Linked DNA regions of Drosophila melanogaster. The protein of the gene in region 2 interacts with the protein of the main gene of each other region in a pairwise test. Each region holds a gene or a part of one and is shown on either strand. Other genes may lie near its edges.

What was found.
Region 1: the proteins of zen (region 2) and Acox3 interact in a two-hybrid assay, tested with the Drosophila melanogaster proteins (one large-scale study listed by BioGRID).
Region 3: the proteins of zen (region 2) and Stacl interact in a two-hybrid assay, tested with the Drosophila melanogaster proteins (one large-scale study listed by BioGRID).

The regions. Positions count from the first base shown.
Region 1 is NT_033779.5:6,444,547-6,450,135, forward strand, and holds Acox3 (Acyl-CoA oxidase 3), read right to left. Parts: upstream 3,317-5,589; 5' UTR 3,304-3,316; coding exon 3,061-3,303; intron 2,890-3,060; coding exon 2,755-2,889; intron 2,695-2,754; coding exon 2,204-2,694; intron 2,128-2,203; coding exon 1,650-2,127; intron 1,586-1,649; coding exon 1,315-1,585; intron 1,251-1,314; coding exon 1,096-1,250; intron 1,032-1,095; coding exon 741-1,031; intron 684-740; coding exon 573-683; 3' UTR 524-572; downstream 1-523. Other genes in the region: retm (real-time), read right to left, coding at 5,306-5,586.
Region 2 is NT_033777.3:6,752,176-6,756,154, reverse strand, and holds zen (zerknullt), read left to right. Parts: upstream 1-1,960; 5' UTR 1,961-2,006; coding exon 2,007-2,093; intron 2,094-2,157; coding exon 2,158-3,132; 3' UTR 3,133-3,291; downstream 3,292-3,979. UniProt on the Drosophila melanogaster protein: Required for the differentiation of the dorsal-ventral pattern, and does not appear to be involved in the process of segmentation.
Region 3 is NT_033778.4:15,399,436-15,404,423, reverse strand, and holds the start of Stacl (Stac-like), read right to left. Parts: upstream 3,329-4,988; 5' UTR 2,041-3,328; intron 1-2,040.

The DNA.
Region 1 (5,589 bases), on a different chromosome or scaffold from region 2:
AAAAGCCAGAAAAACTAGGCCCATTGAAATCTTAGTTGCAAAATAAATGAACATATATCAAATAAATACAGTCCACTACTGTTATAAATGCAACTAATATACTAATGTACATCTCAGCTTGCTGGCCCTTTGGCAGAATGTTCACACATGAACACGAATATATTTAAAGACTTACAATTTTGGGCTCCGTTCATATCTTATGTAAATGAATCGAGAGCGATAAATTATATTTAGGATTTTGTTATCTAAGGCGACATGGGTGCATTGCTCAAAAACATGTAATTTAAGTGCACACTACATGAGTCAGTCACTTGAGATCGTTCCCCGCCTCCTAAAATAGTCCCTTAGTGGGAGACCACAGATAAGGTCCTCGCCGCTCAAGATAGGCAGATGTGCCCGAGCGTGGGACCTCGATAAGGCGGGGACTATTTACTTAGGCCTCTGCGTAGGCCATTTACTTTAAGATGCGATTCTCATGTCACCTATTTAAACCGAAGATATTTCCAAATAAAATCAGTTTCTTACAAAAACTCAACGAGTAAAGTCTTCTTATTTGGGATTTTACAGTGAGTCTACAATTTGGCGCGCTTAAGGTAATCCTTGTAGGTAACATCACGCCACCAATGAGGACGCTCGTAGACACCTGGAGTGGAGACAAGCGTGCGCTGCAGATGCTGGTAGACCTGCGAAAGGATAGAATCTTTAGTAAGAGTAGCAGTTGCTTATGGTAGACCACTTACGTTTCCATCGCTCATGCCCAGAGGAGAGTTTAGAATAAAGTCTGTGGGAGCAATGGCATCCACCAGAGCAATGGCTTCGTTCTTCAGCAGGGGAAGCAGAGCCAGAATGCCCTGTTCGTACAGCTCCAGTTGGTTAGAGTTTTCGCGGAAGTAACCACCGCGGTAGAAAGCAGCGGAGTACTTTGTGACCAAGTGGGCGCCATAGAAGGAGAGCACCTGCTGCAGTACCTTCTTCTCAGCAGAGTCGGGCAGACCAATTACAAACTTATAAAACACGTAGTAGATGGTGCGCTAAAAGAATATTAAACTTGGTTATTTTACTATTTAGTTGGGGTTTAGAGGGTTGGCATCTCACCTCGCCGTAGATAATGGAGAGCTTCTGGGCGGCAAAGACCTGGATGTTGTTCCTCGTCTCAAAGGCATCCTTTCCTTCGCGCTGCTGTTCCTCAACTCGTTTCACCGTCGTATCCAGTTGCCAGACGGTAAGCCAGTTGAGGGCATTAAGTAGATCTATAGAAGTGCAATAAAATTGCGTTATTCCTATCTTATATTTGGATAACTAAGAAATACTCACTGAGCGGATCCAAAACTTCGGCAGGAGTTCGCTCCTGACCCTTGCTTTGCAGAATTGTGTCCATATCCTTCAGGAAGGAGACTGTCTCCAATGGGGAAACTGCCACGAAGTCGGCATTGTTGCGTTGCAGACTGATCAACCAATTGGACGCTTGCTGGATGAGCGTGTTGTTCTCGCCCTCATAGGTGCAGTTGGCATCGTTGTCGTTGCGAAGTTCGCCCAAGCCAGAAGATTTAAGATAGCCATGACCGCCACAGGCCTCGCGGCATTCCTGAGATTAAAACAATATAACCGATAAGTAAAAGTGGTTATATACATATATAAAGCATTCATACCTGGATGCCATCCCTGGCAGCCCAAGTGGCAACTGGTTTGAGTGCCGATGAGATCGCATGGATCTCCATGCCCGCTTGCGACGTGTCCTCGCCAGTGAAGCCCTTCATGGTCAAATCCACGTTCTCTTTGCCTATCCAGAGTGTGGCCACCCGCAAGGCGATTGTGGTGGCCAAGTGGGGAATTAGTCGGTATTGCTGTGACTGATACTCGATCACGGGCCACTCCGCCGGGCTGTTGGTAGGGCCAAACTGGCGTCTGCTGGCCGCATAGCGAGTGGCAATTGTCACAGCCTTGCTCAAGGCCACATACGTGATAGCAGTGATATTGACGCGACCCACGGAGAGGGCACCCAAGGAGGCGCCAAGGCGCTTACGCTCGTCCTTAATTTTACTGGTGTAGTTTCCCTGCGCATCGATGTCACCGGTCTTGGACAGCAGATTTGCCTTAGGGATACGATACTGGTTGAACATCACAAATCTGCAATGCCAAACAAATCGAAATTATTTCTGTTGCTGTTGATTAGTTTTATCAACTGATAGAAGAAAGTACTTGCCCGTTATCAATGCCATTGAGACCGATCTTTTCGCCCATATCGCCGACGGTTACGCCGGGGAATGGAAGCAATGTACGCTCGTCCCGAATGGGAACAAGGAAGGCCTGCAGGCCCTGGTGCTTGTCATCCGGCACGTACAGCTGGGCGTAGACGATTGCGTGCGTGCAAGTCTTGCCTAGATTACCGACCCAACACTTGGCCGCCTCGAAGTCTGGCGTGTGGATGATAAACTCCTGCCTTTTCACATCGTAGGTGGCACGGGTGCGCATGCCGAGCGCGTTGGTGCCGTGAGAAATCTCAGTGAGAGCGTAGGCGCCCAAAATGCGGTTGTCCGCGATCTTGGCCACGTACTTGCCCAGGCGGCCAGATCCGTTGGAGACCAGCGTGCTGGGGAACATGCCAGTTGAAAGGCCGAACTTGACCGAAGTGCTGAAATCGTAGCTAAAGATGGCCTGTCCGAAAGCAAGCAGAAGATGTGGGGTTCCAAGATACTGAAAGAAAGACAGGAGATTTAGGCAGCCACACTTTCAGGAGTACGCAACGCATCCTACCTCGTTGACGCCGTAGAACTGTTGCTCCCACAGAAGATGCTGCCGCTTGTTGGCCATTTCGCGGGTGCGTTCCAAATCGGATCCTGGCTCCCGCTGGTAGTCGGGGTGCTGTTCCATCCATTGCCACACCTTGTGCTAAAGACGGAGTGACATGTAAACGAATTACTCAAGTGTGCAGATAAGAAACGGGCGACGATTAGACCGGGCGGTTGGCGGCCTGCAGCTCCGACAAAAGCTATCGAGGCAGTCTGCACTTCGACCCCGCTGACCATGTACATATGTAACAAACTGGAAATGGTAACGAACCTTCAGCCGTATGTGATCCTCGCCCTCGAGCACCACGTTCATGCGCTTGTAGCAGAAGCTAGCCCGCTCACGGTACTCTTCCAAAGGTCCGCTACGGAAGTCGGGAAAGATCCGTTTGTCATCGTAGATGTTGGCTGCAGCCTTCTCCTCCCGGCGGCCGCTGTAATAGTCGCCCAGTGCGGTTAGTAATGAGTTCAGACCGTTTTGGTCACCACCATCGCCATCGCCTACTCCGCTCGCCATTGCCCAGAGAACTGGCTCTTGTTGGAATGTTGGATTGGTGGACGTTGTGGTCGTCAGTCGAGGCGATGGGGCTGTGGGGCAGGGGTACTTACTTTGTGCTCAATGCAACCATGTTGGAGTTCGATTCTAGCGACTGGTCTGGCTGCTTCGAATGCTAGGCGCGAAATGCTTGAAAGTCCAGGCACTCGTAACTATTATTGGTAAAATAGCCAATGTCCAATGGCCAGCGGCGATAAGAAGGAATCCGCTTATCCGCACTTCATGGCCAAGTAGCCTTTTAGTGGTTTGCATCCGCCGCGGATAAGATACGGGCCCTAGGAGAATGCGGGATTAGGGCGGCCCGTGCAGGTGGTGGTGGGTGCTGCCTGCGAAATTCGAATCTTTTAGCGGCCACAAACATTGCTTTAATTTCCTATCAGCCATCAGCCAACAACAAGCGCGATAAACAAACAATTTTAACCCAGTTTTTCACCATTGAAGATAACATAGTTTGACGTGACTTAAGCCATGAGAAAGAACGGTGTTATATAAATACAAAATGTGAAGTTTTTTAAATTCTGTTAATTATTATATAATATAATTATTTAATTATTATACATAATATACATAAATTTCATGTTTAATTTTCTTTAATATCACAATTCAATGTTTTCACAAAATGTTTTAGCGGGGGCGTTGCCAGACCTTCTCAAGGTAGCCAGGGCTGGAATAGTAGGTCTGGCGCGTAATTTGAATATTCTTTCTATCAGAAACGAGTCATTTGCTGGTCTAATTTTATCTATTTTGTTATATAAAAACATTACAATATATATAAAAACATTACAATCCACATTTAAAATATGAAAAGAGCATCCATATCCATACCATACAATTTTCATGGATTCTAAATTTGATTTTAATTAAAACTGTTGAATAGTTTATTTTTTTCAAGAGCCCACAATAAAATGCGAATATGTACATGTAATTGATCTAATAGCATTTATTTGATTACGTTCTTAATACAACTTACACACTTAGTTAACATGCACTCATTTTTCCTTCGTTATTGGCTTGTCAGTTTATTCTTACAATACACGTCAGATTATTTATAAAACTAAATTGTAAACATCCGCATAGTAATTCGTTTTTAATACAATAAATAATAACCAAAAAAACACACTGAAGTTGCCTTTTTTGATTTTAAAAACACTTTGGAGATTGATTGATATTAGCAATTAAGGGCGTACAAATGACGGGGTAATTAGTGTGCAATCAAAAACGTTCTGCATTCGAATGTTTAAAATACAATTTTACATTTATAATTATAATCTGACGTCTAGCTATAACCTACGTGTGTATTTCGAGTTCAAATCTTACATTTCACTCTTTTGTATAAGTTCTGGCTAAAATCCTTGCAATAAGCCATTTCGGCAATTTGTTTATTAAACTAATTAGGTAACACGTAGTTATTGATTACAATTTCAATTTTTTCTATTTTCGTTTCAGTGGCTGCGCAATCGCAATAAGTTCCTTAATTGTTGCTAAAAAATGTTCCATTAGAAAAAGCTATAAAAATTACGTCGCTTTTACATATATATGTACGCATTAAAACTTCATTTATAGAGCTGCTTACGAAAAATTCAAATTGACGATTCAAATAAAACGTTGCGTGATATTTTGGTGTTGCTCATTTAAACCGCTGATATTTCTAATTTTCTTAAGATTATCAATAATATGAATGCTTGTATATATTGAATGAATATAATAAATTTAAAAGGAAATAAATGGCCTATTTGAGCTAAATACAATTTAAAATCAAACTAACATTCTGCTAAACAACTAAAGACAACTAAAACACAAGATATTACCACTTTCGGTCTTAAAAGAATACGTCCGGCGTTTCAAATAGATTCAGGCTCTTCTCCATCAGGGTGCCCGTGAGAATGTCCGCCGCTATGGGCTCCTCCAATGCCGGGGATCTCCATTCGGCGCCGTTCGTTCCGCCATCCCCGGCTTTCTCATATCATCGACTCTGCACCGAGCTGGCCGCCGACGAGTTCGATGAGAATGCCGACTGCAGGCTGGTCATCGAACCCTTGTAGTTGGCCGAGCTGAGCACCTCGTAGAAGACGTTTAACTGGGCACCCGATGGACTAAACCAGTGCATAAGATAGCTGTCGTTGTGATGCATCACGTGCGACCCCTGGACGCTCTCCTTGTGCCGGCAAATCAGCGTTGGCTCCTCACGGAAATAATTGACGCCCTCGACGAAGTCCTGCAGATCAAAGTACGAGACGGCGGAATCTG
Region 2 (3,979 bases):
TCAATTTCTATGCTATGCCAAAGTGTCTGACATAATCAAACATTTGCGCATTCTTTGACCAAGAATAGTCAGCAAATTGTATTTTCAATCAATGCAGACCATTTGTTTCAGATTCGGAGATTTTTTGCTGCCAAACGGAATAACTATCATAGCTCACATTCTATTTACATCACTAAGAAGAGCATTGCAATCTGTTAGGCCTCAAGTTTAATTTTAAAATGCTGCACCTTTGATGTTGTCTCTTTAAGCTTTGTATTTTTAATTACGAAAATATATAAGAACTACTCTACTCGGGTAAATTGTGACTAACTACACATAACTACATACTTAGCCCATATTTCCGTCCCTTTCTAGAATGAACGAAAACAGTATCTGGTTTTCCCGAAAATCTTATGAATTTAAAAATGCACTTTATTGCACATACTCACACATGCCTGCCATAAAATATGATTCGCGATTTTTCCGCGAACACCCGCGGATCATAAAACATTTGCACCAGCTGCCTGTGTTTATTCACCTACCTGAAACCCATACTCTTATCGCCTGATCCTCGCGCGGTCGCACTATTTAGGTAGACACTGTACAGGCAGCACTCGCGGGGCGCCGCCAGGCAACTTGTTGCCCCTATTTTCTTTGATATAAGTTTTGGGAAATCCAGAAGTCCAATAACGGGGCCTATATGAACGAATATTGATTGGGTTTCTCCCAGTTATAGAGTTTTTATTGATCTTGGGCGCGTTTTAGTAGGTGGATTATGGATGTCCTGGGAAAACCAAGCTCTGAATCCATTCTTACTTATCACAAGACTTGTTTTCCTGTGCCCTTCATCACACCTAGTTTAACTACTATAATTAATAAACTACTTTTTAATCCGCCATTTATGAAGATAATTTATAGCATCTATGCATCTTTCAAATATCGCGAGATATCGCAAAGTATTCATAAATTAGTTTTTTATTGATATTGTAAAGCTTTTTAATTTGGTTCAGGTTTTTATTGTAAATACTTTTCACAATTGTGCACAGTGACCCATTAACATGGTTGCGATATTAACTTAAGACTTAAACAAGTTAATTAAGAGTTTTAGCACTTCTTTTCAAAAGATCATGTTTTAATTATGTTTTTAAATGAATCTTTTCGACAATTCTAAAAATATTATTTCGAAAATGTTAATTTTCATATATAACCTAAGTAAAGATATTTTCAACTGTACCTCACTCTCGCCGCGACATTTCCACACGGTTATCCTGTTATGACTTTTCCTTTGTTCCAACGTATTTTTAGCGAATTCTCGGAAGGAGAAAATCCGATAGCGCCAGTAATAAAATTTGCGAACAATTCCCTAGTTCGAGGACTGAGGATGGGAAGGCCTATGGACCGGAGACCCGAGACAGATTCGCATTCGCCGCGTCGGAGACTTGAGCATATACTCCTTGGAAACAAGCAGAGCCATAAACTGTCCAAATCGAGCATGAAACCCCGAGGAGCATCCTTTCTCACAGCGCTGCTTTCATTGCATTATGAGGATAATTGCGGACGGCGAGCGACCAAAAGCCGCGACAACAGCTTCGGTTTCACTTTCAGCGCCGCCACCGGAGGCTCTTTCAACAGGTGCTACAAGTTGGACAACAATCGCCTCGGATCTCCGATCATCATCAGCCCGTCTACCTGGCGAGACTCCGGCTCTTGCGGCCCAGGAACCCTGGAACTGTCTCTCACGCAACGCCAGATCCTGGCAGGATTTCGATCAAAACAAGCCTCTAGATTGCCCATTGCCAATGGCCGGGAGTCGTCGGACTTGGCTAGTCTCCGAGGTGCCAGTCGGGCAGTCCAGCGACGAAGGGATTTACGACTCGCGGCTTAGGCAAATTTTTTCGCAACGATGCGTCGGCGGAATTGACCTGTTATGTCGTCTACCTACAAGCCCTCCTATATAAGCATGATGTTTGCTTAGGACGACAGATCATTCCACTTTTGACAGCTCACTCGGCAGTACCAGAAAAAATATGTCATCCGTCATGCACTACTATCCAGTTCACCAGGCTAAAGTCGGCTCCTATTCAGCAGATCCTTCCGAGGTTAAATACAGTGATGTGAGTACTCAGATCAAAAATCGAATATCAGCAATAAACTAATTAGTTGTTTACCCGCTTTCAGTTGATCTATGGTCATCATCACGATGTTAACCCCATCGGTCTGCCTCCCAACTACAATCAGATGAACTCCAACCCCACCACCCTCAACGATCACTGCTCCCCGCAGCATGTGCATCAGCAGCATGTGTCATCGGACGAGAATCTGCCATCTCAGCCCAACCACGACTCGCAGAGGGTGAAGCTTAAGCGATCACGGACTGCCTTCACCAGTGTCCAACTGGTGGAACTTGAGAACGAGTTCAAGAGCAACATGTACTTGTACAGGACGCGCAGGATTGAGATTGCTCAGCGCTTGTCCCTGTGCGAACGCCAGGTGAAGATCTGGTTCCAGAACCGACGAATGAAGTTCAAGAAGGACATACAAGGTCACCGCGAGCCCAAGTCCAACGCCAAGTTGGCTCAACCCCAGGCTGAGCAGAGTGCCCACCGAGGCATAGTGAAGCGCCTCATGTCCTACTCCCAGGATCCCAGGGAGGGCACAGCGGCAGCAGAAAAGCGTCCTATGATGGCAGTGGCTCCTGTGAATCCAAAGCCAGACTATCAAGCCAGCCAGAAAATGAAGACCGAAGCATCAACCAACAACGGCATGTGCTCCAGCGCCGACCTCAGCGAGATCTTGGAGCATCTGGCTCAAACTACAGCTGCACCACAGGTCAGCACTGCCACATCTAGCACAGGAACATCTACCAACTCGGCTTCTAGCTCCTCTTCGGGCCACTATTCCTACAACGTGGATTTGGTTCTGCAGAGCATCAAGCAGGATTTGGAGGCAGCGGCCCAGGCTTGGTCCAAGTCTAAATCCGCGCCTATCCTGGCCACTCAATCCTGGCATCCCAGTTCCCAAAGTCAGGTCCCCACGAGCGTGCATGCGGCTCCCTCGATGAATCTGTCGTGGGGCGAGCCTGCTGCCAAGTCGAGAAAGCTGAGCGTTAATCACATGAACCCGTGCGTAACCTCCTACAATTATCCCAACTAATTTTGAGTTAAAAAAGTTATACTAAGTTTTACTATAAATTTTTGTTGGAGCTAAGCAACCGTCTCTGGCCCTTGGACGAAAAATTCTAACCGAACTCAGTGACAAAAGCCATGAATATTCTTAAATTATCGTGAAGTTTAACCATTTTTTTAATAGATATATTAAAATATGCCTCTGTATTGCAACCATAGTTAATAAACTAAAATTCAAATAATACAAAATGATATTTTCTTCACTTTAAAATAATTATTCGATCGATTTCTTAAATGACTCCTTGTTGCTTGCTGTACAACTTTTATAAAACTTTGCTTTAGTTACAATCCATTTAGTATCCTTAAGACCACTCCAATCCAAAGTGGACACTTGGCTTCTGAAAAGGAGAAACCAAGGAAAGAAAGGAGAGGAGAGGAGAGGGGTTAATTTTTAGCATTTAGCTAGTGTCCCAGTTGTCTTCGGTTTCACTTTTGCATTTAATGTCCCATTGCGGGCGACTTGAGGTCAAGTCGAGGAATTTCCATTGCATCGCCCATCTATTAGGGCCCAGAAAAGTGTCAACCGCATTAACTCGGACAGGTCCAGCCCCTTCCCCTTCTCCATTCCCATTCCCAATCCGGATTCGGATCCGGATCCAGGTTCAGTTTCAGTTACAGCGGGTTCCGTTGGTCATCTTGAGCGGCGGACATGGAGTGTTAGGATTTGATTTATGGACATTTAACCGCACACATTACTTGCTACTGGCTGCGGCGGCTGTCCAGCGTCTTGCAGCGCGGAAATGCGGCACTCAGCCTCAGCTCCAAGGAATTTCCACCAGCCCATCCATCCCTTTGGTCCTTGGTGCGGGCCCTTA
Region 3 (4,988 bases), on a different chromosome or scaffold from region 2:
GATAGCTATCGGGGGGTTTTCGCGCGGATAATGTTAAAATGACAGGCCATGTATAAATGCGAAAGCGTGGCGAAACATGTTGGTCGTTTTCTCAGTTTTTTAGCGTTTTTGTTTTCTTTTTTTATTTTTTGTATTTTGGCCATTCAGGAAGGTGGTCGTTGGACGTTATTAGCATGCCATCATCACCATTGCCGGCTGGGCCAGCAGTTCATGTAGAACGTGCTCAAGTGGGCACGGTCGCGTACCTCATTATTCCCCCCAAGGACCTCCTACTAACACCACTCTCCGTGGGGGCTTCCCCGTAAAATGTTTTCATTTGGGAATGGACCCGGTGTTTTCGGTGGTCTCGTTTTCGTGCAACTAAAGAAGAAATCAGAATCAGGTCAGCGACAGTAACGGCGGTACCAAAAACTTGAAAGTCACTTTAAGGCTGCCACACAAAGCCGAGAAGAGAGCAGATGAAATAAATGTTAAGGTCAACATGGAAGGAAACCGAGATATGCTGCCCGAGCGTAAAGGCGGGAGTCAAACCAACAAGTCTCGAAATATTCACTTTGTAATTGGATGCTGTCGTCTGCTGCCTGCTGCATACCTTTATAGCCCAGTCGACCCTCAACAAAACCATACCAACGAACACCCACCGCCAGCGGCCATAAAAAAGGAGCTCAGAATGAATGCACATGGGCTTGTGTATGTGTACACCGCGAGTAAAAGTGCTGGAATCGAAGTGGGGTCCTTCAAGTGAGAAAATCCAAAGCGATGCAAGACATATTACAGAGAAAAACATAAATACTCTCCATATAATATTCCTTTAAACCCCAAGGAGTTTCCAAATCTTAAATATTTTAAAGTTTACATTGTCTAACCTATCTTGCAGTGTACCGGAGCCCAGCACTCTTAAATCAATACTTTTATTGTGTAATTTAAATCATTCAGTTTTCACCCAGTGTATTCGTATCTGTGAGTCTCCGTTGTTCTTCAGCGTTGTTTTCTTTCTTCACATAAAGTCGGTTTGCCTCTGTCTGTGTGTGTTCAGCCATTTTTTGTAGCCCCAAAGTTGAAGCGAATTGTCGTGTTTGTTTTATAGTTATTGCTTTTGTTTCGCTTTCGCCCATCGCAGTGCTCTATTGCCCAGCTTTTCCTACAGCTTTCTCCTTTTTTTCCCTAGCACTTTCCATTTTTTTTTTCATCCTCCTGCGGAGGAGTGCGCTCTTCTTGTCCTTGCCCCTCCTCCAGCTTATGCACATTTAATCTTATGACAGCAAAAATGTTGTAAAATTGTTTATGGCACTTTGCGACATGGTCAGTATTTTTACAGTTTACAGTTTACTCCTTGGGATCTTTTCATTTCGTACACATATGTTCCGGAACTACAGGAGCATTTACATGTTGCTGCTGGGCGGGAATGGGATTTGACGGATGGAATCTCGTGACGAGTGGGATTACGTGGATAATGGATGGAGGAATTGGGCAGCCGTGCGCAGGACCTTTGCAAAAAGCGACGAACTTGCAGGAGTGAAGAAAGTCACCAATGACACTTTAATTTCTTAACTGCATAGCATTCTTTTAATCACATTTCTCAGCTGTAAGTAGTTGCACTTAATTAATGGATACAGATTTGGGAATTGTGAGGTGAGTAAACTTAAAAAGAATTTTAAATGCACTCTGCCAACACGAAATATATGCAATTAAGAAAATTGCTTTAAAAGTAGCCAAATGACCATTTTAGTTTGTAATGATTTTTGTCAAACTTTAACTTTGCTAAAGAAATTATTTAGTTTATTCAAAACTTGCAGTAGTTTCTTTCACTTTGGCAAAACTTAAGCTTCCACAGAAACCCAAATTCATTTTCAATCAAGTTTTCAAAGCTTAATCTCCTTTATTAGTTGATGGCAAAGCTCTTAGCAAAATAAAATCATTGACAAAACTTAGCATACCATTTAATAAACTTCTAAATCAGACTATCCTTCCAAGTGGTAGAAATGAAGTGCCACATTCATTATTTTTCATTCGTTCTACACTGCTGTGATTTCAACTTACCAATTTCGAGAAAATGTTGGCCTTATCTGTCGTCGACAACCTGTTGGCTGCTTTTTCCCATTCACTTAAACGCTTTTCCTCTGATTCCGAATCTTATCTCTATTGTTGCCGCAATAATCAGGCGAATTTCATAAAATTCACTTGGCAAACGATTTGGTTTTCGTGTCAAAGCTCTGTCCAGTTCAATTTGGTATATATTTTAATCGAAATATATTTGCCAAGCTGTCTACATTTTGCTATATACCCGCATTTATTTGTATACGTTCCTTGTGTGGCCAGCAGATGTTTGTTAGTCTCGTTTTTGTTGTCGTTTAAATCTAAAAATTATTATTAGTAATTTGTTGGTCTGCAGACAGCGTATATCCCTCTCTCTCTCTCTCTTCTCTTTCAGGGGCTTTTCTTCTTCTATCGTTTTTGGGTGAAAATTGAAATTGGCTTTCAGCGCCTAAGAATTTTTATCACGATAATTTATGATTGGAATATGCGTGGTCAGTTAGCACTAAGTAAGTACATATATAGTAGACTCTCTCTTGTTAATATGGTATAGTATAGCTATAGTTCTGTCGAAAAATATAGTGTATTCCCTCCTTGTTCCTCAGGCTTCTTGTGTGTTGTATTTTTTTTTTTTTTTTGTTGCGAATTTTGGTCAGGTTATCTCTTTGTGTTATTGGGCTTTTCGGGCACACTTAGTGACTTGTAGCTTGGGGAGCTCTCATTATGGTCACGTTGAAACCGTTGTGGCACTGGCCCAGGCACACTCCACGGCGGAACGGGTTCAAATTGCTTGATTGCATTAATTATTCAGTGCCAACGTCGACGTCGTTACATCTACATCAGCGGCAGCAGGCCGCGCGCATGCCAAAGTTTACTTATGTAAATGCGCCGCGGTAGTCAAATAAACACAGAAACAGAAACTTTTCAGAGTTACAAGTACACACGCGGAGTGGCGATAGTAAAAATTTAAAGCATACTTTTCAGGTGAGCTGCGCTTTGATTTGCATCCAAAAACACAGTTAGCGCGCACACACACGCACGCACCAGGACTTAGGTGGCCAACACGCACACACTCGGACAAACCGACCAAACGACCAACCGACCGACCGACTAACCGAAATAGAAAGTACTGTGCTGGATACTTGTTGTTTCAGCGGCACGAACACCTAACTACTGCCACACTTGTTACGGCCTGGAGTTCAGTTCAGCTCAGCTATTGTTCAGCTGTTTTGGCTAAGTCTTTATTTGTTTGCCGTGCTGCTCTTCCGGCCAACATCACGTCCAGCTAGCGACTGAACAGTGGTTCCAAACGAACGGCGGCGACAACACTGCGTATACGCAACGTCCACAAGTCGGCTGCTTTATTTTCGGAATAGCTTGATGCGGCTGCGTGGGCAAACGAAGAGAAAGCAACTGGGAATTCCAAAGAGCGGGCAGGTGCTCTTGGCCAGAAAAGAGCAGTTATGGGAAGGGAATCAAGCAAGTGGTTGGGCCCTAAGCAAAACAATTGCCATGGAAGTTAATCATTTGGTGCCGATGGCGGTGTGAATACGGAATTCTTTATATACTAATTAATTGCATTACTAATGTATTATTCGACCGGCTCATAATCGAATAATGGAACTTTTTGACGTGAAACAATTTGTTTGCACAGCCAAGTGACGCGATACCGTACACATTCAGGTCAAAGGTTAATTTTTGTCCCTATCTCCCGACACATGTGAGGCCATTAAATAGCAGGACCAGCAGCTTGGTAATGTGTTATTAGAGGGGAGATGCGGCAGGATGGTAGTTGCCACAACAGAGGACAATTAATGAAGCAATCCACGAAGCAATCTGTTGCACTTTTGCCACGGCAATGCACGTAATTAAGTGTAAATTAAAACCAAGTTAACAGGTTAGAGGGCGAACGGAATGCAACGAATGGTGAATGTTCTAAGCGGAATTTTATTGAAATAAAATACCTCATTGAAATCCTCTACCAACATATTTTAACTTATTACTATTATTACAACTTTACAACAATCAGGGAGGGCGCTATAGACGAGTTCTTCGACTACCACATACCCTCTACTTAGCAGGGGTGATGTAAATGTGAAAGAGATTGCAACTAATTAAGTATAGTTATTTTAAAAAATTAGGCTTTCTTTAAATCGCATTAGTGAAAGAAGCTGTTCTCGTCTAATAAACATGGCTAAAAATAGGATTACCCGTTTACCCATCTAAATAAACGGTCAGCTAGAGCCATCTTTATGCTTGATCGCATTACAGTGATTATAGAAGTTGTTTACCCCAACCGCTAACCGCTGAATAGCTCCAAGAATTTGTTAGCCAACCTGGTCCTGTTTGCTGCCCATGGAATCGGGTTTCGCGCGAAGGTAGCGCAAATAAAAGAAACAAGCTTAAGCTCCTTTCAAATACCGTTCAAAGTTAGCAGAAAATCGATGCAATCGAAGCAACAGCAACAACAGCAGCCAACACGAAAGGACATCCGATTCGCAGTGGGAGATTTCGAGGAAAAGGCGGTGGGACAGAGATTATCTCGGTTGGAAAGTGAGAAAAGTTTTTAATTAAAATTCACACGCAATATGTTGCGCATACGCAGCGTTGCTCCGCCACCATCTTACCACAAATTCCTTGCTCATTAGCGTTCAAATTGTGCGCATATCATGTAATTTAGATTAGATTGAAATTGAAAATGTTAAGCGAACCAAGTGGCTGTCTCCAGCCAGCCATCGGAATTTCCAAGAGGGTTGATTTTGATTGCGTGGTCGGGGGAATTATTGCGGCTTTGGCTAAGCTCCTGCTAGAGAGTCCAACTTATAAATATTAATAAAGCCAGCAGCGTGGATCCTTCGTCCTGCACGGGCACATTCGTCAAGTAAATGAAGTCGTCATGAATGAAGCGGCCAGCAATAGAAACAAAATAAATAACTTGTGTAAAAATTCCATCA